2 linked regions of the Xenopus tropicalis genome follow. Each later gene encodes a partner of the first gene's protein in a complex. Links are inferred from orthologs where the notes say so. Each region holds a gene or a part of one and is shown in the gene's direction. Other genes may lie near its edges.

Region 1 (11,595 bases):
TAAAGCACTTTAAAATATATATGGTCAAAAGCAGCTTTTTTATCTGTTCAAGCTACCCTTTCAGATTTAACATTTTGGTCAGGCCCCCTTAGCTCATACCAAGTTATAGACATATAAACACTTGCTCTATTAGCAATTCAGCCATAGTCACATTAACATAAAGTGCAACTAGTAATTGTTCCCCACAGATCTCACCTAGACAAAACTTCAGGCTGAGAAGCAGGGGAGGCAAAAATCACTTGCCTAAAATGTTATATCTCTTTTCTGGGTCCCTGCAAGAAGGGTAGCCCTCGTTTTCTTTAGCTATGACCTGCAAGAGATTAATAAAAGAGATTAATATAGGACTAATAAAAGGGCTAACTTGGCCAGCTAGGATATTATTTTTAGTTTTTCCCAGCTGCTCTCTTACTGGCCTTTCCATGTCTCCCCAAATACTGCACAAACTGCAGAGCTTTATTGGCTAAATTATACCAAGTAACTATGTAGCTATGATTTAAAGGAACCCTTATGGCAAGAAATGCTTTATATTATATACCACTTTCTGGATAACAATTTTCCAGATACCGTAACTGATCCCATACCTGTACTAAACTTACTGTACCAACCCAGTGGTTCAGCAGCCCTATAATAGTAATGATACATGCCTTCAGTGTTGTACACAGGAGCTCCCCAACTTGTGATCCTGACAAGTATATATATATATATATATATATATATATATATATATATATAATACACCAATAGGTCCGCACTCCCTTTAATTAATCCTTTAGGCAAAATGAGCGGGTGCTACATAGAGTTGTACCTTGTATGTTTCTCCAAAAGTTATGTGCACTCCAGCGTAGATCAATTAGCTTTATTAATAACTTACATCATAGCTCAAACATCAACGTTTCGGTCCGTGTCTAGGACCTTGTTCACGATGTCAAACCCCACTATATATACACATACATACACATACATACACACACACAATATATCTCAGTAACTGCCAGCAGCACAGAGCATGTGCAGGGAATCAGCAGAAAAGAAGATGGGGAGCTACTGGGGCATCTTTGGGGGCACAGGGCTGTGGTGAATTTGGGCTGGTACAGGAGCCCAAAATATAAGGTGTAAAATCTCCAGCATAGTTCTTTGTGGAGCTATAATTTTCCTTTAGGGTAAGAACACACAGGATGTTTTGTTTCCATGTTAAATCACCTCCAGCAAAGGGCAACAGATTGATCAAAAATCCCTTTGCATGGTTGTTGCAAAAATCTCTGTGTCTAAACCAATTGCATTGCATAATTGCCAGAAAATGCTGCCTTTAGCAAAATGTCCTGTGTGTTCTTACCCTTAAATGGACTCCAGACTTCTTATTACAACAAGCAGCTGAGTGTTGTGCTTAGAGCGGCCAAAGCTTTAATCAAGAAAAGCTACAAATCTGAGTCACTACCATCGCTCGCATCAGCCAGGGATGGGGGGGGGGGGGGACTTTTTAAAACTGTTGCCCTCCTAGTACTTTATTGGAAGTTCCATTGTGTGGAGTGTGTTCCATTATCTTCAGCAGAGATCACCAACAGCCTTGTGACCTTGTTTCAAGTTTCCACCGTCCTCTGTATGCTTCAGTGAGCAGGGCCCTATTCCTTATTTCTGGCTATTTATGTCCTTTTGTCAGTTTCACTGCTCAGCAAACGCTGACGCTTTATTATATTACCTCAGTCACCATATGAACAGGCTAAGAAGCCAAGCTGTGATATATATATATAATATATTTATATGTATGCTGTGTCACTGCTACAACATTTGGCTACTGAATTTACCCTGTCTGTTTTGTTTCATATAATGGCTGCTAATCCTGGCTTTCACTTCTAATTTTGGAACTGCCTTTCACCGCTACACTGACCAATATTATGGTTCTGCCTTCCCTTGGGCTTGGCCATTATTGTTGCGGCACTGTACCTCATTAATAAGCCATGGGCCAGTAAGACATGGACAAGCAGGTTATATTAGTGTGCTTAAAGATTTGTCATAGGGAAAGTTATACAAACAAATATCTGGTAACGTTTGGAATGTGCGTTTCACCTGTCTTTGTATGTGATACATATATTTATGTATATACACAGTCATGTTACTGTAATGCAAGAGGGCACTTATTCGATTGAATTTTTAATATAAGTATTGTTTTAATTCTGTAGGTTTTTTGTTGTATACCAAAACTCATTTGACACTACTAACATCCTCTCTGGTGCTATATTCATGAGAGAGGCATATAGTCATTACCTTCCTTTCACATTGCCGTGCCCAGTGGCATAACTACAGAGGAAACAGACCCTGCAGCTTCCAGGGGGGCCACAAGGGTGGTCCCATATAAAGGGGTGCCCTGCATGTTTTGCAGAAGACATGAGATTTCATGTGGGGGGCAAGAATGTAAATCGCCGGTGGGATGGCATACGCGTTGCTTCGTTTTCCCAAAGCCTTCTGAAGTTGCCTCTCAAGGAAACTTTGCATGACTTCAGGAAAACGAAGCAAAGCGGTAACAAAGATCTCCTCGTGTGCCACTGCCCTTAAGGACGGATACCTCAGGCAAATTCCTGCTGCTTTAAGTCTTTCAGTACTGGTGCTAAGGAAGTGAGATTTTAAAAAGTTTAAAAAATTAAGAGGCAAATCTGTTGTGTGAGTGTATGTGTGTGTGTATATATATTGTTATTTCCTGATACTTTATTTTCCATTGCTTCTGTGTAAGAGTTTTCTTTCACTGTCAGTCATGCCCTGCATGTTGCCACAGTCTCAGGTCTGCTCGTGATCGTCTTGTCAAACCTCATTCTCGTCCAAGACTAATTGAAGTGTTCTAATTCTTTTACACAGTGCCAAAATGGGCTGTGTTCTAATGTTATTATGGTCATGGCCAGCTGAAGGTTATAATTATGGAATACTCCAGGCATATCATTAGCAGGAAAAACAGCCTTAGTGTGGTCATGGCCTGTACAGAGCAATACTCTGCAACACAACCAGCATAGGTATTCCCCTTACTAAGCACAGTTTAACTAGAAAATGTTAGGGTATTTTGACCTAATGAGGGGTTAGTAACAGCTCCAATCCTTAATAGTGAAAGCATACCCTGTCTATAATATATGGTTTAATGATTGTTGGGCATTATTCACCTAAAACCTTCCCACATTTAGTTCAGTGCTCTTGTGTTCTTAGGCTTTTGAAGTGGCTGAACGGGAACTGGGTATTCCAGCTTTGCTTGATCCAGAGGACATGGTGTCCATGAAAGTGCCTGATCGACTGAGCATCATGACGTACTTATCCCAGTATTATAACCACTTCCGGAATTCTAGTCCAGGTGAGCATAGTGCAAGAGGAAAGGCCATTACGTTCTACATGATCCAAACTGACCCCCAACTTTTTAACTCTTTTCACAGTGGGAAAGCCTCAGCTGAAAGAAACCTCTGAGTCCCCCAGCAAAGAGCCCAGTGGAGGTTCCTTACCTCAGGTAGGCTGGAAGCTGTTTCTCTTTGGACAGAAATGTGCTTTTACCTATAGCACGTGATGAGTCATAGTGGCTCATTTATAAGCATTGGGCACCTTTGCACCTAGGCAGTAACCTATGGCAACCAATGAAATTTTGGTTTTCACTGCTAAACCTGTAGATTGTAAGCTCTTTTGGGCAGGGCTCTCTTCACCTCTTGTATCGGTTATTGATTGCTTTATATATTACTCTGTATGTCCAATGTGTGAAACCCACTTATTGTACAATGCTGCGGAATATGTTGGCACTTTATAAATAAATGTTAATAATAGTAAGAAACCTGCAGCTGACTGAAAAAAAAACACGCATTGGTTTCCATGGGTTACTGCTCATGTGCAAGTTTGTCCTGTGAATCGGGGGTAGGCAGAAGAGGTATGTGCCTAAGATGCAATAGAAGAGGGTTCTAGGCACATACCTTAGCTACCTGCCTACCTTTAGTTCCAGCTGGCTGAGAGAGGAGCTATGTTGCACCTCCATTCTGCATTACATCACACACCCTCCCCTCATAAACTCTGCTCCCCACCCACTCCTCACCTCACTGTGGCAGGTGGGTGATTAAGGCAAGGAATTGTGCCTTGGGCACACCTTACAGTTAGCCCGGTACTGCCATAGACTACTAAGGGCAAAGCCCTTCATCATTTGTTTTCTTTTTTATCTTTATTTAGGGAAGCCCAAATGCCCAGACCTCTTTGATCCGTAGCTCAATAAGCAGCACCTGTGCTCTGTGCCAGCAGCATGTACACCTAGTGCAGAGATACCTGGTAGAGGGGAAGCTTTATCACCGCCAGTGCTTCAGGTTTGTTCATGTTTAAAATATCACTTTGCTTGTTTTTTTCATTTACCTGCAATTCTACTAGTTAATGTACTGCATCCTGTTTCACTTTCTCACAGATGTAAAGAATGCTCAAGTACCCTAGTTCCAGGAGCCTACCGCCCAGGCACTGATGCCGGCACTCTGGTTTGCACTCACCACTGCCACCGGCCACCAACCAGCAGCCCTGAATCTGAAGAAGATGGCACTAAGCAAAAAGCAGTTCAGACCCCTCCCAAACCATTTGTGCCAGAAAAACCTGCCTCCTCCAATAAACCTCCAACAGAATTGCATCCTGATCCCTTTCCTAACATGCGACCAGTACCAGCTCCAAGAAGAACAAGTGATGTGGCCCCTCAGCCTCTGCCACGCTCCCGTGCAGCAGCAGAATCAAGCCCAGTGAGGCCTACATCTCTAATAAATGGTGAGGAGATAACAAATCATAAGGGGGAATGGTTATCCAAACAATTACTGACATTCATTGTGCTTATGCAGGCGAACAACAGTCTCCCGCTCCACCAATACCCAAACCAAGAAGCAGACAGAGATCCTCAGAAAGGTAAGTGTGCACATACACTCGGTAGAAAGTTAACACAGTTGCCACCAGAAAATCCACTGGGCGAGGAGAGTTTCTTCTAAGCACTGCTTTCCCAGGGCAGCCCTGCGCGAATCTATACGTAGAACATCTTGATTTCTCTTCTGCTCATGTGCCTAGCTTCAGCAGGTGCAGGGGATGTCTGTCAAAGTTAAAAATGAGGACAGCTTGCTGTGCTCAAATAAAAGTACCCTGGACTGGTAAGTATTTTAGTAAGAGGTGCACCACCCTACAGTAGCAGGTTAGCAATTAGAAGCACTAAGGGTGCAAAACAAATTAGCACCTCCCCAGTTATGTTTACTTTGCTTCCCCTACTACTACTATCTCTTGTAGTACAGGCTGTGACAAATGTAGGGGTGATCTACATCTGCTTTCGGTTTTTAGTGCCTCCTTCAGTTTCTGCTGCTGCCACCAATACTATTAGATGATGCCAACACCAACTAAGCCTTGCTTCCATGTTATTCTGATATAGGGTTAGCAATCAAGGCCTTGACTCACTGATTTTTGGAGAAAGGAAGGAAAATTTAATAAGAGAACAGTGACAGTCATTGGCACAGCAGAATCTGCAGTAGTTGAAAATGCCTCTAAAAGGAAGAACCCTGCAACAGAAAATTATTATATCACACATTATTTTGTACATTGTAGTTCTCTTTTTGCCAAAAACAAAGGAGAAATAATAATAGGTAATTAATGTAGCATAATTAATCTCACAATACTGTTGCAACAAATTGTTCTTTTTTTAATTTATCCCTTTCGTACAGGCTTAATCAGTGCTTTATTATTTTATTGAACAACTGAGCATGCCCACAAGCCAGGAATCAAAGCAAATTACCGAGGGGGGGGGGGGGGGCGAGTGGGTTACAGGAGGAGAAGGAATTCTAAGTGATTAAGGGGATGCTGCAGCCTTACTATGCAGGTATTGAAAGATTTCAAAGAGGCTGTTCAATGTTTACATTTTTGTGTGTGGGGTTTACATGCCTTTTTTAGCATAGTACAGTAACTGTAAGTAGCACATCCCAGATTTTGGCCAAAACTGTAGGGCATCTGTTATTCCTAGTAGGCAGAGTTCCAGGAAGTAAATGTTTACGAATGCCAGCTTCTCCTCTAAGAATCGCAATACTGCACCCCAGAACCTCTGAATTACCGAGCAAGACCAGAAAACCTAGAACAGAGATCCTGTCTCATCCTAACTTTTAGGACATCCAGTCACTGATTTTATTATATTTCAGGTTAGGGCAGTTCCAGAGCTTCATAAGTCATCTGCTTTACTTGGTGCTTTTTTTGTTTTGATGCTGTTTAGGGAGGATGAAGAAAAACAGAAAAAAAATCCTCCTTGGCTCTCTCTGGTTCCTGCGACAGAGCCCAAAAGGAGAGCTGCTCCCCCACCTCCACCACTGGCTCAAAAGCCGGAGTTAGGAGATGAGAAATCTCAGAAGTCTTTAAATGACACAGAAAAGCAAAGTCTCTCATCAAAGCCAACAGCCTACAATCCATTTGAAGATGAAGAAGAGGAAGCGGAAACAAGTTCTCTAAAACCAGGCCACCCATGGTATGGAATTACACCAACCAGCAGCCCCAAGAGTCGCAAAAGGCTAGCACCTAAAGCTCCCAATGCTTCACCTCTGGGTAAGCCAAAATAGCTTGTATTTACCCGCTTTATCTTGCTTATCTCGCTTAATCTAGATGTTGCTATGGGGTCAGAGGGTTCTCAGGCCAAAAACATGGATTAGAAGGTTTTTAGGCAGATAACTTCTTGTGCTAGCAATGTCAGGTAGTTCCCATTTAAGTTTATGAGAAATGCCATTGGTGGTTTTTGTCAGTTCTCCACTTGCTGAAACCCTCCCTTTGTGCCCATAGCTTAGGCTGGCATCAGTGGATTGGAAACAATTAAGTGTCTACATTGTAGAACATTACTGCCTGAAATGAGGCACAGAAGCTATATAAGCTAGCTGGGAGTTACCACAATCTTTCTTACCCTATGGATCTGTAACCAAAAATGGGTTCCCATACTGTTTAGGGTGTTTTGCCTTTAATACAGTATTTCTTCTGAAAGGAGGAAATAGCAAGCCAAATTAGGCGCAAACACTGATTGTACACCACATTTTAGGTTGCAAATCTGATTCTGGGCCTTAGAATTGAACATAGAATACACAATTATGTACACAGAATTTGAAACGTTTATTGTAGAGCTTTCTTCCATAATCTTTAAAAAATGCAACCTCCTTGTTACAGTGAAGAAATAGAACCTCTCTTGAAAATATATCCTGCCAGCAACAGATCATTGTTTTGTTATTGTTGTTGCCACGCCCTCCCTCCCTGTGTAACCAGAAGTTTGTTTATATGAAGGCTGTATAAACAAGCCTCTTCCTCTCACCAGCACCAACCTTTGTCTTTGTTTACACATGGATCAGTGTTTATTATACAGAGGGTTTTACTGTGAAAAGTAAACTGTGTGTCTTTTCCTCCTTTCACATGCCCTGCATAACTAGGAAGTGGAAAATAAAAGTACTTTCAGTTTCACTGAATGCAGCTTAGTGCAAGATATATCAAATACTGTTATTGCAGCTTTACAGCTATCTACTGAGACATGCTAGTGCTGGTATATTTACATAGACACTAGGTGGGCTACAACATAGTTTGCAGCAAGTCTATTTACCCATACCAACTTGATTGCTGTGGGTTACTAGACCATAGCGGGCACACTGTAACTTTTATTACATTTCTCCATAATTGCTTTAATGACTTTTATGTATGTTTCTTTTTTAGCTCATCATTCTAACCTAGTGTCAAGACTGTCTCACTCGGAGCCTCCCTCGGGCAGCCCTTCCCCAGCCCTAAGTACAGAGAGCCTTCCAACGGATGCTTCCACAAAGGGCCAGGATCCTGAGAGTGTTCCCAAAAGCTCATCTGAACCAACTATCCATTCTCCAAACAAGCCAGAACCTTCAGATAGAGATACTACTACCTACCTCAGCACTGGTGTCCCCAGTACTTCTACCAACACCAGCCTTTCTTCCTCTAGCGAATTAGCTAATACTAATGAAGCACAAGAAAGCCCATCCCCAGAAATGCCTCTTAGTCCAAGCCGACCTGCCCCTCAAGTACCTACCATCTCCATTCCTAGCACAGTGGCATCAGACAGCACACCTCCAGAGAAAAAGCCTCTAGCAAAGGTGAGTGATAGGGCTGGTCTAGAATTTTTATTTTTTTTTATATATTCTTTATTTTGCTTTTCATAAGAAATGGGGGGGTACAGAAGGGAAGAGGGAGGGGGGGTTGGTCTAGAATAATTCAAATAAGTTTATGTAATATACCAAAAGCATCATTTGTGACACGGAGTTAGCATAATATCCAGACATGATTATTTGGCTATACACAGTGTGATAGTTGGCCATTGTTTTTTTAATTTTTTTTTTTTTTAAAAGATAGTTTAACCATCACACTGTATGACCTTTATTCTCCTATTTAAAGGAAAACTATACCCCCAGAATGTATACTTAACCAACAGATTATATTATAGGTTTTATATTATAGGTTTATATTATGATAAGTGACCTATTAAAGAATCTCGCCAAACTGGAATATATATATCGGTAAATATTGCCCTTTTACATCCTTTCCCTTGCTCCCTCACATGACACAGATCACAGATCACATGACATGAAAATAATGCAGCTCTAACAGAAAGTAGTGTGGAAGCAAAAGACAGAACTCTGTCCATTCATTGGCTGATGGGACCTAACATGTATGTGTGTGCCTTGGCTTGTTTGTGTGCACTGTGAATCCAATGATCCCAGGGGGCGGCCCTTAATTCTTAAAATGGCAGTTTTCTCTTTAGGATTACCCAATAGCACATACTACTAAAAAAGTATATTTTTATGAAAATGTTGTATTTAGATAAAGCAGGGTTTTACATATGAGCTTGTTTATGTAATATATTTTTATAGAGACTTACATTGTTTGGGGGTATAGTTTCCTGTAAGCAACTAAAATTTCTAAATGGAGTTTGTTGTTCAGTAGTGAGTATACATTTGGTAAATGACTTCATTGGCTTACAGGAGAGGTCTTTGGTTAACAGGAAATGGCAGGAACCATACGTCTAATGGGAACAGGCCTGAACAGGCAGTCAGCAGTTTCTGGCAAATGCCAGAGGGGCTGCTGTTTAGTGACATAGACAGTTACTGTTTATTGGGCTGGTATGGGTATCCCAGTCTGCGTGGCATGCTTCTGCTACAGTACTGGACAGATATCTTGGTATATTTCCATTGCAGCTAGGTATACAGGTGAAGGACATGCAAGTTGCAAGATCATAAACAGCTGCCATAGCTTCAGTTGCAGGGTGTTACTGCAGGAAATGGTTATTCACCTTTGAGTTAACCTTTAGTATGATGTAGAGAGTAATATTTTGAGACAATTTGCAAATGATCCTAATTTTTATATATACGTGGTTTTTTTTAATTATTTCACTTTTTCTACAGCAGCTCTCCAATTTCAGCAGCTATTTGATTGCAATGGTTTAAATTACCTTAGCAACCAGGGAGTGGTTTGAATGAGAGACTGATATATTTATAGGAGAGTATCTAAACAAAAAAAATAAGTAGTAAGTTGTAACAATAACAATAAAATTGTAGCCTCAGAGAGCAGTAGTGTTTTTGGCTGCTGGGGTCAGTGACCCCATTTGAACCTTGAAAGAGTCAGAAGAAGAGGGCAAATAATTCAGAAAGTATAAAACATAAATAATGAAGACTAATTAAAAAGTTTTCTTGGAATTGGCCTTTTTATAACATTAAAAGTTAACTTAAAGTTGAACCGCATCTTTAATTACAAACCTCACTAACTGTGGTAAAGCTTGAAGTATCCTGTGCAGGAGAACCATGATATACAGAAATGTTCATTATGGATTGCTGGGGTGGTACAGGTATGGGACCTGTAATCCAGAATGTGTGGGACCTGGGGTTTTCTGGATAAGGGGTCTTTCCATAATTTGGGTTTTCATACCTTAAGTCAGTTAAAAATCATTTACACCTTATATAAACCCAATAGGATTGTTTTGCCAATAAGGATTAATTATGTCTCTTTCTTAGTTAGGATTAAGTACAAGATATTGTTCTGTTATAAAGAAAAAGGGAATATTTTAAAAAATTTCAAATTATTTGCCTTAAATGGAGTCTATGGGAGATGGCCTTGCTGTAATAATGGGTTTCTGGATAATGGATCCCATACATGTATTGTTATTATTACGTTCTGCTCTTTCTTTCCAGCAAATTTGCAAACAGAATCCCTTTAATAGGAAATCCTCTCCTGCTACATCTCCCATCAACAAAAGGAACCAGAAAGGTCCAAAACCTTCCCGACCCCCTGCTCCAGGACATGGGTTCCCCCTTATAAAACGCAAGGTAAACCAGTCTAAGCCCTTCTTCGTGTTCTTTTCTTGTGTTTTGTTTACTGCGCAGTAAGAAGTCAGGACAGTATTGCTGGGCCCACATGACTTATTGATATCTGTTAAAGCAAAGCATGGCTCACACTATCTTGTTGTAAAATTCCCTGGAATCCATATGTGAGGCAAACAGCGTGACTGTGACCGTCAGGATTCTTCGGAATGCCAGTTGAATGAAATTAAGTTAAAGGGTTGTTATATAAACCCTACTTTTTATATGTAATGGTTGTCGGCCATGTTGTACTATATGCACAGGTAATTCTGTAGCAGTGCCTGCTCATGTATATATGCAAGTAGATAGAGAAGGAATATTCAGTGCACAAAGTAAGTGCTTTGAATTCTAATTCTGAATTATTACCCCATCAGTGCCACCCTTTATCTTTATTTGCTCTGTGGTTCACTGTATAAGAGAGACTTTGGGCACCATTGTGGTCACTAGACTTAACCCTCTGTGTGATAACCAAAAGTTCTCTAGTGGAAAGTGCTGACTTTTTCTGATTTTTCTTTATTCTTTAATTACTTGTCAGGTTCAGGCTGATGACTACATTCCGGAAGATGAGATTCAGATGGAGATGGAGACAATTGAGCTGCGCCTGGATGAGCTAGAAAGGCGTGGGGTGGAGCTGGAACACAGACTGCGCAAGTTGGAGAATGGTGAGAGAATAGACTGACTGATATTTGTAAAATGTTTAATTGGCCATACATGCAAATGCAGGAAAATTTTTAAAATGTGCGTGGGCTCAATTAATATTCCCCCAATTTTCATGTAGTAGTTGATCAGTTTAGAAACAGGTTAGAAAATTTCAGGAGGGTAACCATAATATTTGACCATGTATTGCCTATCTGACGATATCCTTGGGTGACCTACCATGTATTTCCAGGATATACCTTACATACGATTGTTGGCAATTATTAATTGTCAGAACAATGTCCGATTTGTTATTTTTAGGACTTTAATCCTACAATTTCTGAATGTTCGTTTTAGATCACATTATTAAATGTACGATCAATACCCAAAAGTTTGTTGTAAGATGGCTAAAATCTAAATATGTATGGCCACCTTTATTCTGAGTCAGCTGTGTGACTGCACTCTCTCTGTACAGAGTCAGATGAAGATAGTCTGCTGGTGGACTGGTTCAAGCTGATCCAAGAAAAACACACCCTGGTGCGCCGGGAGTCAGAGCTTGTGTACACGTAAGCAAGGCAGACTTCTCTTGTACCTTTAGTCTTATCCCACT
Region 2 (12,166 bases), about 89 Mb from region 1:
CTGATAATCTACTCGTCCACTCTTCACCCACTGCCTCTTTAGAAACACCATCGCTAAAACTGCACCCCTCCTCTGGAATTTCCTCCCATGTTCCATCAGTATTTCTCACAAACCTTCAGCCTTTAAATGATCTCTTAGAACATATGTCTCAAGAGAAACTTACCCTCATCTAGCTTAGCATTCCTTAATGATGCCCTATATGCCCCTGCCACCAACTCTATCTCTCTAGTATAATACCACAATAAACATATCTCCTTTGCTATTCCCGATCTTGTACAAAGCCACACCTTGGTTTTCATAGCCCTCTCTTTTAAGCATGTATGCTGATACAGGAACAGAACAAGGGGGAGCAGAAGGGCTGCGGAAGTGAAAACTGGAGTCTAAGAAAGTAAAGTAGGTAAAACACTGACAATCAATACACAAGGCAGAGACCCACTGACTTAATATCAGAGATCACAAAATATAAAAACCAACAGGCCCTAATTGTCTACGCATTATTCATGTGGGTACTGCTGCTTTTCTGGTTTCTTAGAATACTCTTGATTATTGGTAAATGTACATAATTTCATGGAACTTTGCAATATACGTCAATTTAAAAATATGCAGTCTTTTCATGATTTGTAATCTAATATGCAGGGCCGGAAGTAGGGGTAGGCAGAAGAGGCAGCTGCCTAGGGCGCAATGATTAGGGGGCGCCAGGCAGAAGCCTCTGCTGCCTACCACTGGTTCCCCTACATTGCCCCCGCCGCTAATGACAAGTGGCGGGGGCAATGACCCACGGCATCGCACACACCCCCCCCGAACTGTGCATGCGCACCAACGGAGGGGGCGGGGCGGGCGAGGTGGCCGACCGGGTTGCCTAGGGTGCCCGGACAGCTTGGCCCGCCCCTGCTAATATGGTTTGAAACAGTTCCTTAAGCCTGGCCCCCCTGCTGATCTAGCATTTCATGAAAATGGACATTTTATGGTTTCCTACCCAGTGTTTCTTCTGCCTTGTGAAGTAAATGGAAAATAGCAGGCAGGAACTCCTAAATACTGAAATTCCTTTATGATTAGTTCATCTTTTAATGCATGATTATCAGTATAAGTTACATCTGTAAAAACAGACCTCCTACTTTTTGGCCAGAGACCAAAAACAGACCATTTTATCTGACTGACTTGGTAATATTGCATCATATTTTTGGAAATATACTGTAAGTTGAATGAAAAATATTCTATCAAGAGAAGTCTCTGATTACAATTTACAGGCAAATGGGAATGCAAAATAAGCACAGAAACAGCAAGAAAAGCATTTCTTTAGTAAGAATGTGCACTTTAGGGATACACCAAATACTGGACCTGGTTCATTATCCTGTCCTAACACTGTTTGTAGAATCTAAACACTGGCACAAGTCCTTGTCATGGTATCTGAAGGGACAGTATATCCCCATGTTCAATGAATAGGGCTTGCGCTGATCACACATTTTGCCAAGCAGGGCAAACAGGAAACTGAAACTACTCTACGTTTAGAGCATGGTAGATAGATTCCCAGTCCACTGATAATCCATCTGCTTAATGGACTCCTGCTATAAATCAGTCACAACAAAGTGTGAGCCCTTCTCACTGTGTGTGGCTGGGTTATACACCAAAACTAGTTGTTGAGCACCAGTAAACTGGCTGACCAAGTATTTTTTAGTGTAGATAGCTTTATATATTTCTCATGCATCTCCCTATGACCCACCAATGGAATCAGCTCAGCCCTTTAGCTGGAGGTAGTGGCAATGCCTAAATAAAATCCCTTCCATGTTTCCCTTTTACTACAACAGATGGAATCCTGGCAGAACAGTTTCATTTTCATGGAATTACCCTACAGGTTAAAGCTCAGGCCCCACTGGGCCTCCTTCTCTGGATTCCTTTTGCTTTGCAAATGCAAATTCCTTACTTGAAATGCTTTCCATACAGGCAGTGATGTACAATGCCTTTAACTATAGATGCTTCTTATTTACAGGATTTGTTATCATTTCCCTGAAGGCAGAAGGTTTCCGCTATCCCAGATCCTTAAGAGGTTCCTGCCTAGCTGTTCCTGCTTATTCAGAGGCCAAGGTACAGACACATAGGAGAAACAGAGTTTCCCACAAGCACACACACACACAGGCCCCTAAAGCTCACACCTGGGGCTCAGTAGTAAGGAAGGTGCACTGCCAAGCAAGCATGGATGCTGCAAAAAGGGGCAAGAGAGGGCACCTGGAATTTTGCCCTCAAAGCCAACTCTCCCTGCTGTTGCAGTCGTTCCCACCTGTCTGTCAACATTATCATCCAGTAGCTGCCTTCATAGCCCCTTCTCTGGAAAAATAAAATCTCCTGCCTGCCCACTCCCATACTGTACGCCCTCAATACTGAAGCAGAGAGAGGCTGCTGAACATCCCTGGCTGTGTCCCTCACATACAGTTCCCTACTCTGTGCGTACATGCAGGGTCAGAGGCTGCTTGTGCCTGCAGTCATCACTAAGGACAGTGGAGTTAGGTGGGGATATTGGGGGAAGATCCGCTCGCTTGGCGATCTCACCAAGCGAGCGGATCTTACCGTGTATGGGGACCTTAAAGGTGGGCGATATCGGGGAGCTTGAACTTAAAAAAAAAAATTCCGATTATGTAGGCGGCAATGGGGCAGTCGGTTCGGGGACCGCATCAACGAGCCGATGCGGCCCCAGATTCGACTGAATCTTTTAACCTGGCCGATTGATATCTGGCCAATTTCAGGCCTGATATCGGTCGGCCAGCCTGCTCGTTTCTGCCCCTACACAGGCAGATAAGCTGCCGAGCCGGTCCAAGGGACCGATATCGGCAGCTTCTATCGGCCCGTGTATGGGGGCCTTTATTAGTCTGCTGGAATAACAGCTAGTGGTGCTAATGTAGTTGGACAGGCTTGTAGAGACCATATTGTCTGTAACAGTATCTTTCTTGCTACTAGATGCTATGTTCTGTGCTCAAACTGTTCTGTTCTAAAACTAACACTTTGCCTCCCCTTGGCGCCCCATTACTTACCTGTGTTAGCCGGTAATGCCTCTTATCCCAGCTTAGACCCAAGGGTGATGCCGTACTTTAGGGCAGAGTAAAGACCCAGTAGTCTGGAGCACTGTATACATATGTCCTACAGCCTAGCCCTAGGTCTTTGCCTTTCTCCCCTAGCCCCAAATTTACTCTTTATTGTCTTATAACAGTGTCCCCTTGGTATATGTTCCTATATAACCTATAACTCATCAAATTCACTGTGGCTAAAACATCAGTTTGAAAGTCATAGCAACTTTACATCCATTGCTGGAAGCAGCAGATCATGACTACCAGCTAGAATTAGCATTACAGATAAAACAACAGATGTCTGAAACTGACTTCAAAGTTCTAGTCACCATACTCTCTAAAAACATTTTCCATATAGGAAACAGCATGAAAGAAGGACTTGATACCCCTGTACGATCTCTTTCTGGGCAATGTATGCCAGCACTATACAATGAGAGAGCTTAGGGACTCTGTATGTCTGCGATGCCAAGACTCTGACAAGCTTTACTTATGTCGGACTTTCCTGTTTACATAAGAATTTGAATAATTTCCCGCACTCTAACTATGGCGAACTCCACCTTCCTTTGTTTAGGGTATTTCAAAGACTTTGTTTTGCAAAAGGAGAAAAAAATGCAAAGTTTAAAGGATGTGAAAGAAAAACATAAAAGAGAAAATACAGTTATATTATATTTGGCTGAACTCAACAAATCAGGTAGGGGACCAGACTTTCTGCTTAAGGGAGGTTTACTGACACAAGGATGGCACAAAAACAGACCGAAATAGCAGAAATAATGCAGTAAAAAATAGTTTTATTTAAAGAAAAAAATCTCACAAGGACAAGCCTTACACATTCCATGCCGAGCTTGAAAGGCACTTAATCATTGGCTCAAGTTGCCCCTCAAGGCACGGAATGCGTAAGTCTTGTCCTTTTGAGGCGTTTTTTCTTTAAATAAAACTAACAGTGCTCTTCAAAAGCCTTTCCCAGTTAATAGTTCATAGGAAAGACTTCAGAAAGTTCTTCTGAGGCTTCTGACCTCCTTTCTGAGCAAAGCAACATCAGAACAGCTTAGTTTTCTTTTTTAACATATATTTCCCAGACTGTGTAGCTGAAAGAACTGACCAGCAGGTGGCGCTGTTGTTACATAAGGTATTATATTACCAGTTTATAAACTGGAACCAAAAACATTCTGTTAATAGTAAAGGTGCTTGTAATTTTACATCCGCACATTTATTACGCTGCCATTCATGCTAGTGGCAGACTTTACTTCACCACACAAAATGTATTTGTATATTTTTGTAACGCCGTTCTTTCTGTATTAAACAGAATACAGAGACTTTTATAGCTCAGCTGAACTCAGCAATTCATGAGAAATTCGCTTTTACTTGGGAGAAGACAATGACAGGCGCCATACCATGCCCTATAAACCCGTTACGGGCCAGAGAGACGGGACCAAAGTCCCGGATAGAGAATTGACCCGTGTGACTCCACCGGCGGGCACGGCTCCATCCTCTCATGCACGCCTCCCAGCAGCGGACGCGCGTCCCCGCCACGCCCAGTAGTGCGCGCCCCCGGTCCCAAGCTCAGTCTCTCGGCCAGCTGTGAGGAGCTCGTCCCGGCTCCGTTATCCCATCCCGTGTAGGTAGGAAACAAGGGTTGCCCCAGCAGTAGCCGCCATGTTCAGCTGGTCGAATAAGGATACTCGGAGGAAGAAAGAACCGGAGCTTTTCCAGACGGTGTCCGAGGGTCTCCGGAAGCTTTACACACACAAGTTGCTGCCTCTGGAGGAGACTTACCGCTTTCATGACTTCCACTCCCCTGCCCTGGAAGATGCCGACTTCCATAACAACCCCATGGTGCTGCTGGTGGGGCAGTACAGTACGGGCAAGACCACCTTCATCCGCCACCTCATAGAGCAGGACTTCCCCGGCATGAGGATCGGGCCCGAACCCACCACCGACTCATTCATCGCCGTCATGCACGGGCCCGTGGAGGGGGTCATGCCCGGGAACGCGCTTGTGGTTGACCCCAAGAAACCCTTCAGGAAGCTGAGCGCCTTCGGCAATGCCTTCCTTAATAGGTAACCCGTGTGTAGGCTTCAGCTTGGGGGGCACTGTAGGGTAAGCAGCCCACAGGTCGCAGCGATTGTCCCTTGGAAGCATGCGACAAAGCATTAGTGAGAGCCAGTCTTGCACCTCCCTGAGCTCAATGGGCACAGTCTGGCTCAATAACATTAGGCCAATGGGCACAGTCTGGCTCAATAACATTAGGCCAATGGGCACAGTCTGGCTCCCTAACATTAGGCCAATGGGCACAGTCTGGCTCAATAACATTAGGCCAATGGGCACAGTCTGGCTCAATAACATTAGGCCAATGGGCACAGTCTGGCTCAATAACATTAGGCCAATGGGCACAGTCTGGCTCAATAACATTAGGCCAATGGGCACAGTCTGGCTCAATAACATTAAGCCAATGGGCACAGTCTGGCTCAATAACATTAGGCCAATGGGCACAGTCTGGCTCAATAACATTATGCCAATGGGCACAGTCTGGCTCCCTAACATTAGGCCAATGGGCACAGTCTGGCTCAATAACATTATGCCAATGGGCACAGTCTGGCTCCCTAACATTAGGCCAATGGGCACAGTCTGGCTCCCTAACATTAGGCCAATGGGCACAGTCTGGCTCCCTAACATTAGGCCAATGGGCACAGTCTGGCTCCCTAACATTATGCCAATGGGCACAGTCTGGCTCCCTAACATTAGGCCAATGGGCACAGTCTGGCTCCCTAACATTAGGCCAATGGGCACAGTCTGGCTCCCTAACATTAGGCCAATGGGCACAGTCTGGCTCAATAACATTAGGCCAATGGGCACAATCTGGCTCCCTAACATTATGCCAATGGGCACAGTCTGGCTCCCTAACATTAGGCCAATGGGCACAGTCTGGCTCCCTAACATTAGGCCAATGGGCACAGTCTGGCTCAATAACATTAGGCCAATGGGCACAGTCTGGCTCAATAACATTAGGCCAATGGGCACAGTCTGGCTCACTAACATTAGGCCAATGGGCACAGTCTGGCTCCCTAACATTAGGCCAATGGGCACAGTCTGGCTCCCTAACATTAGGCCAATGGGCACAGTCTGGCTCCCTAACATTAGGCCAATGGGCACAGTCTGGCTCCCTAACATTAGGCCAATGGGCACAGTCTGGCTCCCTAACATTAGGCCAATGGGCACAGTCTGGCTCCCTAACATTAGGCCAATGGGCACAGTCTGGCTCCCTAACATTAGGCCAATGGGCACAGTCTGGCTCCCTAACATTAGGCCAATGGCACAGTCTGGCTCCCTAACATTAGGCCAATGGCACCTCTGCTGCCCTGTGGGGGGAAAAAGTGGCTGTCAAAACGCCCCTGTCCGCTCTGTATTACTCCGCTTGCATTGAGGTTTTCCCATTCACTGCTCAGCCAGGGCACTTACCATTATATATAACAGTGATCCCCAACTAGTGGCTTATGAGCAACATGTTGCTCCCCAACTCTTTTGATGTTGCTCCCAGTGTCCCCAAAGCAGGTGCTAACTTTTGAATTTCTGGTTAGGAGGCAAGCTTTGATTGCATAAAAACCCAGTGCAGTTGCCAAAGAGAGCCTTCTGTGGTCTCCCAGTCAACATAGGGGCTACCAAATAGCCAATTATAGTTCTTATTGGTACACCCAGAAACTTTTTCCATGCTTGTGTTGCTCTCCAAAACTTTTTCCATTTGAATGTGGCTCACCGGTATAAAAGGTTGGGGATCCCTGATATATAACATAATGAGCAGTGACAGGGGCGTGCCAGGGGCGTTTTGCTAGCTTCTAGTTTCTGCTGGATAACCTACTGGAAGGTAAAGTTCCCCTTAATAGCCACAATATATGGCTGCAGCATGTCATAGGTTTGTGTTGGTTCCATTGCTGTAGAACAGGGATCCCCAACCTTTTATACCCATGAGCCTCATTCAAATGGAAAAATTGTTGGAGAGCAACACAAGCTTGGAAAAAGTTCCTGGGGGTGCAAATAAGAGCTATAATTGGCTACTTAATAGCCCCTATGTGTACTGGCAAGCCTATTGGAGGCTCTGTTTGGCTTTACATTGAGTTTTATGCAACCAAAACTTGCCTCCAAGCCAGAAATTAAAAAATAAGCACCTCTTTTGAGGCCACTGGGAGCAACATGTTGCTCACAAACCACTGGTTGGGGATCACTGCTGTAGAACTACACCCAGGGGTGCTGGGAGATTGAAGTGTATCATGCAGGCAGCTCTGGGTGTGTAAACCCCCCTCCCCACCCTCAGCAGCTGAGTACTGTCCTGGGGGCTAAACTTCCCCAGCTGTTGTGCCGCTCTGGTCAGAGCTGGTCACTGTAATCTAAGAACAGCAAGAGGCTACAGGATGATCATAACATGCTAAAAGTTTTAGCTATATTGCAAATATATTAAAATGTTGTATTGAATCCTAAAATGTAGTAGAAAATGTGTGGAATATAAAAATAAGCTAAAATATATATTTAAGCATGGCAGCCAGGGATTTACAACGCTTTTGATTGCTCAGCAATGATATTGGACATGGGTGGGTGGAGTAACAGACCACTCACGTGAGTTTTAGGATTGGGGCTTTTCAAAGCTGGAGTCATTAATTGACTATAGTTCCCATTGTGAGTTATAAACTACTGCGAGACTTAAAGGAACAGTAACACCAAAAAATTCAAGTGTATAAAAGAAATTCCAATATAGTGTACTGCTGCTCTGCACTGGTACAACTGGTGTGTTTGCCTCAGAAACACTATTGTGGTTTATATAAAGAATGCAGCTGTGTAGCCATGGGGGCAGCCATTCAAAGGAGAAAAGGCACAGGCACATAGCAGATAACAGATAAAACACTATTGTATTCTACAGAGCTTATCTGTTATCTTCTATGTAACCTGTGCCTTTTCTCCTTTTTTCCAGCTTCAATGGCTGCCCCCACGGCTACACAGCAGCTTATTTATATAAACTATAGTAGAGTTACTGTAGCAAACACACAACTTTTGCCAGTGCAAGGCAACAGTACATTATATTTAATTTACTTTAAAACTCTTTAATTTTTTGGTGTTACTGTTCCTTTAAGTGGGTTTTGCTCTTTTAGATGAATTAAGGGTGAGGCCATCAATGCAAAACATAGATAAAACCTGTGTATGTTTAGCATTGGCATTCACTTCTGAGGGTACAAAACCATAAAGCAGATTTATACAGAGGAACCCACCGTGTATGCATGAAAATATACCTGTGTGTTTGTGCTGTTACTCTGCAACTGTTCCAAAGCAATTATTTATGCTTTGTGTGCGGAAGTAATTCTGTCTGGCAGTTTTAAGCCAAACTGATCCAACATCTGTCCCAAAACAAGGCAGCATAGCGTCGGCCTATGTGTGCTGCCATCCATAAAAATGCCTCCCTGAATTCCCTAAGAGAAATGGTTATTTTGTGAGTTGCAGATTGATGGCCTTTCCTGGTCAGTTTGTTGTTCTATACGTGTAGCCAAAGATCATCCCAACGTTCTGTATCCCCATGATTGTGATTCAATAGGAAATGCCTGCTCTTTTGGCGACCTCTCAATGTATGGCAATCTTAAAGGACACCCATGTACCCCACTGGGCCGCCTGCACTAGTGGGGGAAACAATATTTGGGTGATAGGTGCCCTTAAAGACCCAGTAATGTCAAAAAGTGGAAAGATATACTTTAAACAAATACAAACTTTAAACATAACCAGCTCCTACAAATTAACTATTTCTTCTTGTACTATATCAGGGGTGGCGTCGACCGCGATCCACCAGTCGATCCCCCGTGGATTTCTGGTGGACCGCGTCTAAGCCTTGGGATGTGGAAGTGCAGCACGTTTATTGGGTATGTGTACGTACGTGGGGAGGAGTCAAAAGTAGATTGTCTGGGCACCCCTGTACTATATTATACAAGAGATTGGCCCCTGTTTATCTGGATAATAACTTAAACCATTGTATTCTATACAGCTTATCTCTTATCTGTTGTGGCTTTTGCCTTATTCAGCTTGAATGGCTGCCCCCATGGCTACAGCTCTGCTTATTTATACAAACTAGTAGTGTTTTCAAAGCAAACACAGTGATTTCCAGTGCAGGCCTTAAAGAAGTGATCCTCATTCAGTGTCTCATAAGCAACTTGTTGCTCACCAACCCCTTGGATGTTGCTCTCAGTGCCCCCAAACCAGGTAGTTATTTTTGAATTCCTGACTTGGTGGCAAGTTTTGGTTGAATAAAAACAAGATTTGCTACCAAATAAAGCCCCCTGTAAGCTGATAGTGTGCACAGAGGCTGCCTAATAGCCAATCTTAGCCCTTATTTGGCACCTCCATGAACTTTTATGATGCTTGTGTTGCTCTCTAAGTCTTTTTACATTTGACTGTGCCTCACGAGTAAGAAAGGTTGGGGACCCCTGCCTTAAATGAAAAGAAATGCCAAAAAATGAAAGTGGTTTAAAGTAATTAAAATATAATGTACTGTTGCCCTGCACTAGTACAAATGGTGTTTTCTACAGAAACACTACTATAGTTTATATAAAAAAAGCTGATGTGTAGCCATGGGGGCAGCAGGGTTTCTGAAGCAAACACACCAGTTTTAAATTTATAATCCAGTATATTATAATTCCTTTTATACAATTTTTTTGTTGTTACTGTTCCTTTAAGTGTAATGTCCCATGGAAAGATTAGTTGCCCAAGACTTCTACCGCAGGCGACTAAACTCTCCAAAGTGCCTTTCCACCTGCAACAAAGCGAATCGCAGGTGAAAAAGACCTACGCGTTGCTTTGGTTTTCTGAAGTGGATGAAGTTACCAGCTGGAGGAAACTTTGCAAAACCTAAGCGATGCGTAGGCCTTTCTGCCAGCATTTGTTGACGTTGGAAAGGCATTTTGGAGAGTATTAGATTAATCTTTCCCTGGGACACACTAAGCGAGTAGTGCCCCGCAATAAATCTCCTCTACCGTGGGCTACTTATCTCATGCATATGTGGTGTGGCTACTTTTTAAATAGCCCAAAGTTCCCTTGAGAGGCAACTTTAGTTCCTTTTTTCCCCCCACCAAGTAGGTTAATGGGGCTACAGCAGATGACAATAGAAATGGTCTTAAGGCTCTTTGTGTAAAAGATGCAGTTATACTCAATGAACACGGACTGCTCTCTAAAACATCTTTAAGAGGTTAAGTTGCCTTTATTTGTAACAAAATGGAAGTAAAGGCATTTAAATCTCTTAAAGGAACAGTAACACCAAAAAATGAAAGTGTACTGCACTGGTAAAAGTTGTGTATTTACTTCAGAAAGTCTACTATAATTTATATAAATAAGCTGCTATGTAGCCATGGAGGCAGCCATTCAAAGGGGAAAAGGCACAGGCACAGAGCAGATAACAGATAAAACACTATTGTATTCTACAGAACTTATCTGTTATCTGCTATGTAACCTGTGCCTTTTCTCCTTTTTTCCAGCTTGAATGGCTGCCCCCATGGCTACGCAGCAGCTTATTATATAAACTATAGTAGTGTTACTGTAGCAAAAACACCAGTTTTACCAGTGCAAGGCAACAGTGCATTATATTTTTATTACTTTAAAGCTCTTTCATTTTTTGGTGTTACTGTTCCTTTAAATACTTCAGAGTGCTGTCCAAGTTAAAGGAGCTTTTGCTGCCTGTGAAGATGTGCAGTCTGCAGTTCCCTGAAGTGCTACATCATTTCTAGAAAGCCATGCTATTTTTGTATACTAATACTTTTGCTTTCATATTATTAGCAGCATTTGTTTTGAGTCGTGAAAAGATGCCTTTTTCTTGTACAAAGGGTCAGGCATTAGTAAGGCGTGGCACAAATCTCTGGCCTCAAACATTTACAGATGCAACAGACCAAGCACCACCAAGCTACAGAAACTCAAAGCAGAATTGTCTTGCAGATATGAAAGCAATAAAACTGGATAATGTGCATATTTAGATTACAGCTGACCTCAGATCACATACACTGTAGTAAAAATACCAAATTGCTTTTATTTTCACTTTTTAGGACCATCAGACTCAGAATATGCATATCAATTTTGGTTAGTTGAAAATAGTGGGCATGAGTCTGAAAGTGGTGGTGGAGGGTGGGGTGTTGGTAAATGGAACAAACTGAAAATGTCTGGTTTTGTGCATTACACAGGTCCTGGAACTACTTAGTGAGTAAATATCCTTCTGTTATTCAGCATTGTGTCCCTTTGAATACTTTATATCCTTTGCGATCATGGTTTTTGGTTTCTTTTAGTCTATGGTAAACCCAAAAATTAGATATGCTGTAACTTGAAGTTGCCCCTCTTTCCTTGGACTTCATTCCCCAGAATGCGCTACTAAACAAGGACGAGGGAGGGGTTCAATGATTCTGCCAGATGGGGGGGGGGGGTAGAGAAATGGGCCATGCAAGACTGTCATGGTTTGTATGTATGTATGTATATCTTTATTTATAAAGTGCTACTTATGTACGCAGCGCTGTACAGTAGAATACATTAATACAAACAGGGGGTTAATAAGATAATAGATAAATACAAAGTATAACAATAAATACAAATAAATACAAGATACAGTTACAGTTGCAATAAGTTAAGAGTCAAAGACACAAGAGGATGGAGGTCCCTGCCCTGTAGAGCTTACAATCTATATCTATATGGTTTCCTTTCAATCTGAGGAATCTTGTATAACTGGTTTAAAGATTTTTAAATAGGTACAGGTATGTGATCCCTTATCCAGAAATTTTTTTCCAGAATGATGGGAAGGCCGTCTTCCATAGACTCAATTTTAATTAAATAATTCAATCTTTAAAAAATTTCCTTTTTCTCTGTTACAATAACCCAGTGCCTCGCTCTTGATACCAACTAAGATATGATCAATCCTTTTTGGAAGTAAAATGGGTTTAATTAATTTTTACATTTATTTATTTTTTTCTTTAATAGACTTAAGGTATGTAGATCCTAATCCTTTATATGAAGAAACCAAGGTCCCTCCCAAGCATTCTGGATACCAGGTTTCTTACCTGTATTCATTTTTGGCAGTTTGTGCACCTTCCAGGTCAAATGCTTTGTATTCA

What was found.
Region 2: the proteins of micall1 (region 1) and ehd1 are in contact, whole or in part, in an NMR structure (PDB 2KSP), measured with the Homo sapiens proteins. The link is inferred for Xenopus tropicalis from reciprocal best matches to the Homo sapiens genes MICALL1 and EHD1. Residues at the interface, in NP_203744.1 of Homo sapiens: Lys422, Tyr424, Asn425, Pro426, Phe427, Glu428, Glu429; in NP_001269373.1 of Homo sapiens: Gly464, Ala467, Lys468, Met471, Asn478, Leu481, Gly482, Trp485, Lys486, Lys492, Asp493, Gly494.

What each region holds. Positions count from the first base shown.
Region 1 is NC_030680.2:122,125,834-122,137,428, forward strand, and holds part of micall1 (MICAL-like protein 1), read left to right. Parts: intron 1-3,186; coding exon 3,187-3,328; intron 3,329-3,407; coding exon 3,408-3,478; intron 3,479-4,179; coding exon 4,180-4,310; intron 4,311-4,405; coding exon 4,406-4,749; intron 4,750-4,820; coding exon 4,821-4,884; intron 4,885-6,220; coding exon 6,221-6,546; intron 6,547-7,686; coding exon 7,687-8,093; intron 8,094-10,181; coding exon 10,182-10,316; intron 10,317-10,884; coding exon 10,885-11,011; intron 11,012-11,460; coding exon 11,461-11,551; intron 11,552-11,595. UniProt on the Homo sapiens protein: Lipid-binding protein with higher affinity for phosphatidic acid, a lipid enriched in recycling endosome membranes. On endosome membranes, acts as a downstream effector of Rab proteins recruiting cytosolic proteins to regulate membrane tubulation.
Region 2 is NC_030680.2:32,909,219-32,921,384, forward strand, and holds the start of ehd1 (EH domain-containing protein 1), read left to right. Parts: upstream 1-4,634; 5' UTR 4,635-4,709; coding exon 4,710-5,113; intron 5,114-12,166. UniProt on the Homo sapiens protein: ATP- and membrane-binding protein that controls membrane reorganization/tubulation upon ATP hydrolysis. In vitro causes vesiculation of endocytic membranes. Acts in early endocytic membrane fusion and membrane trafficking of recycling endosomes.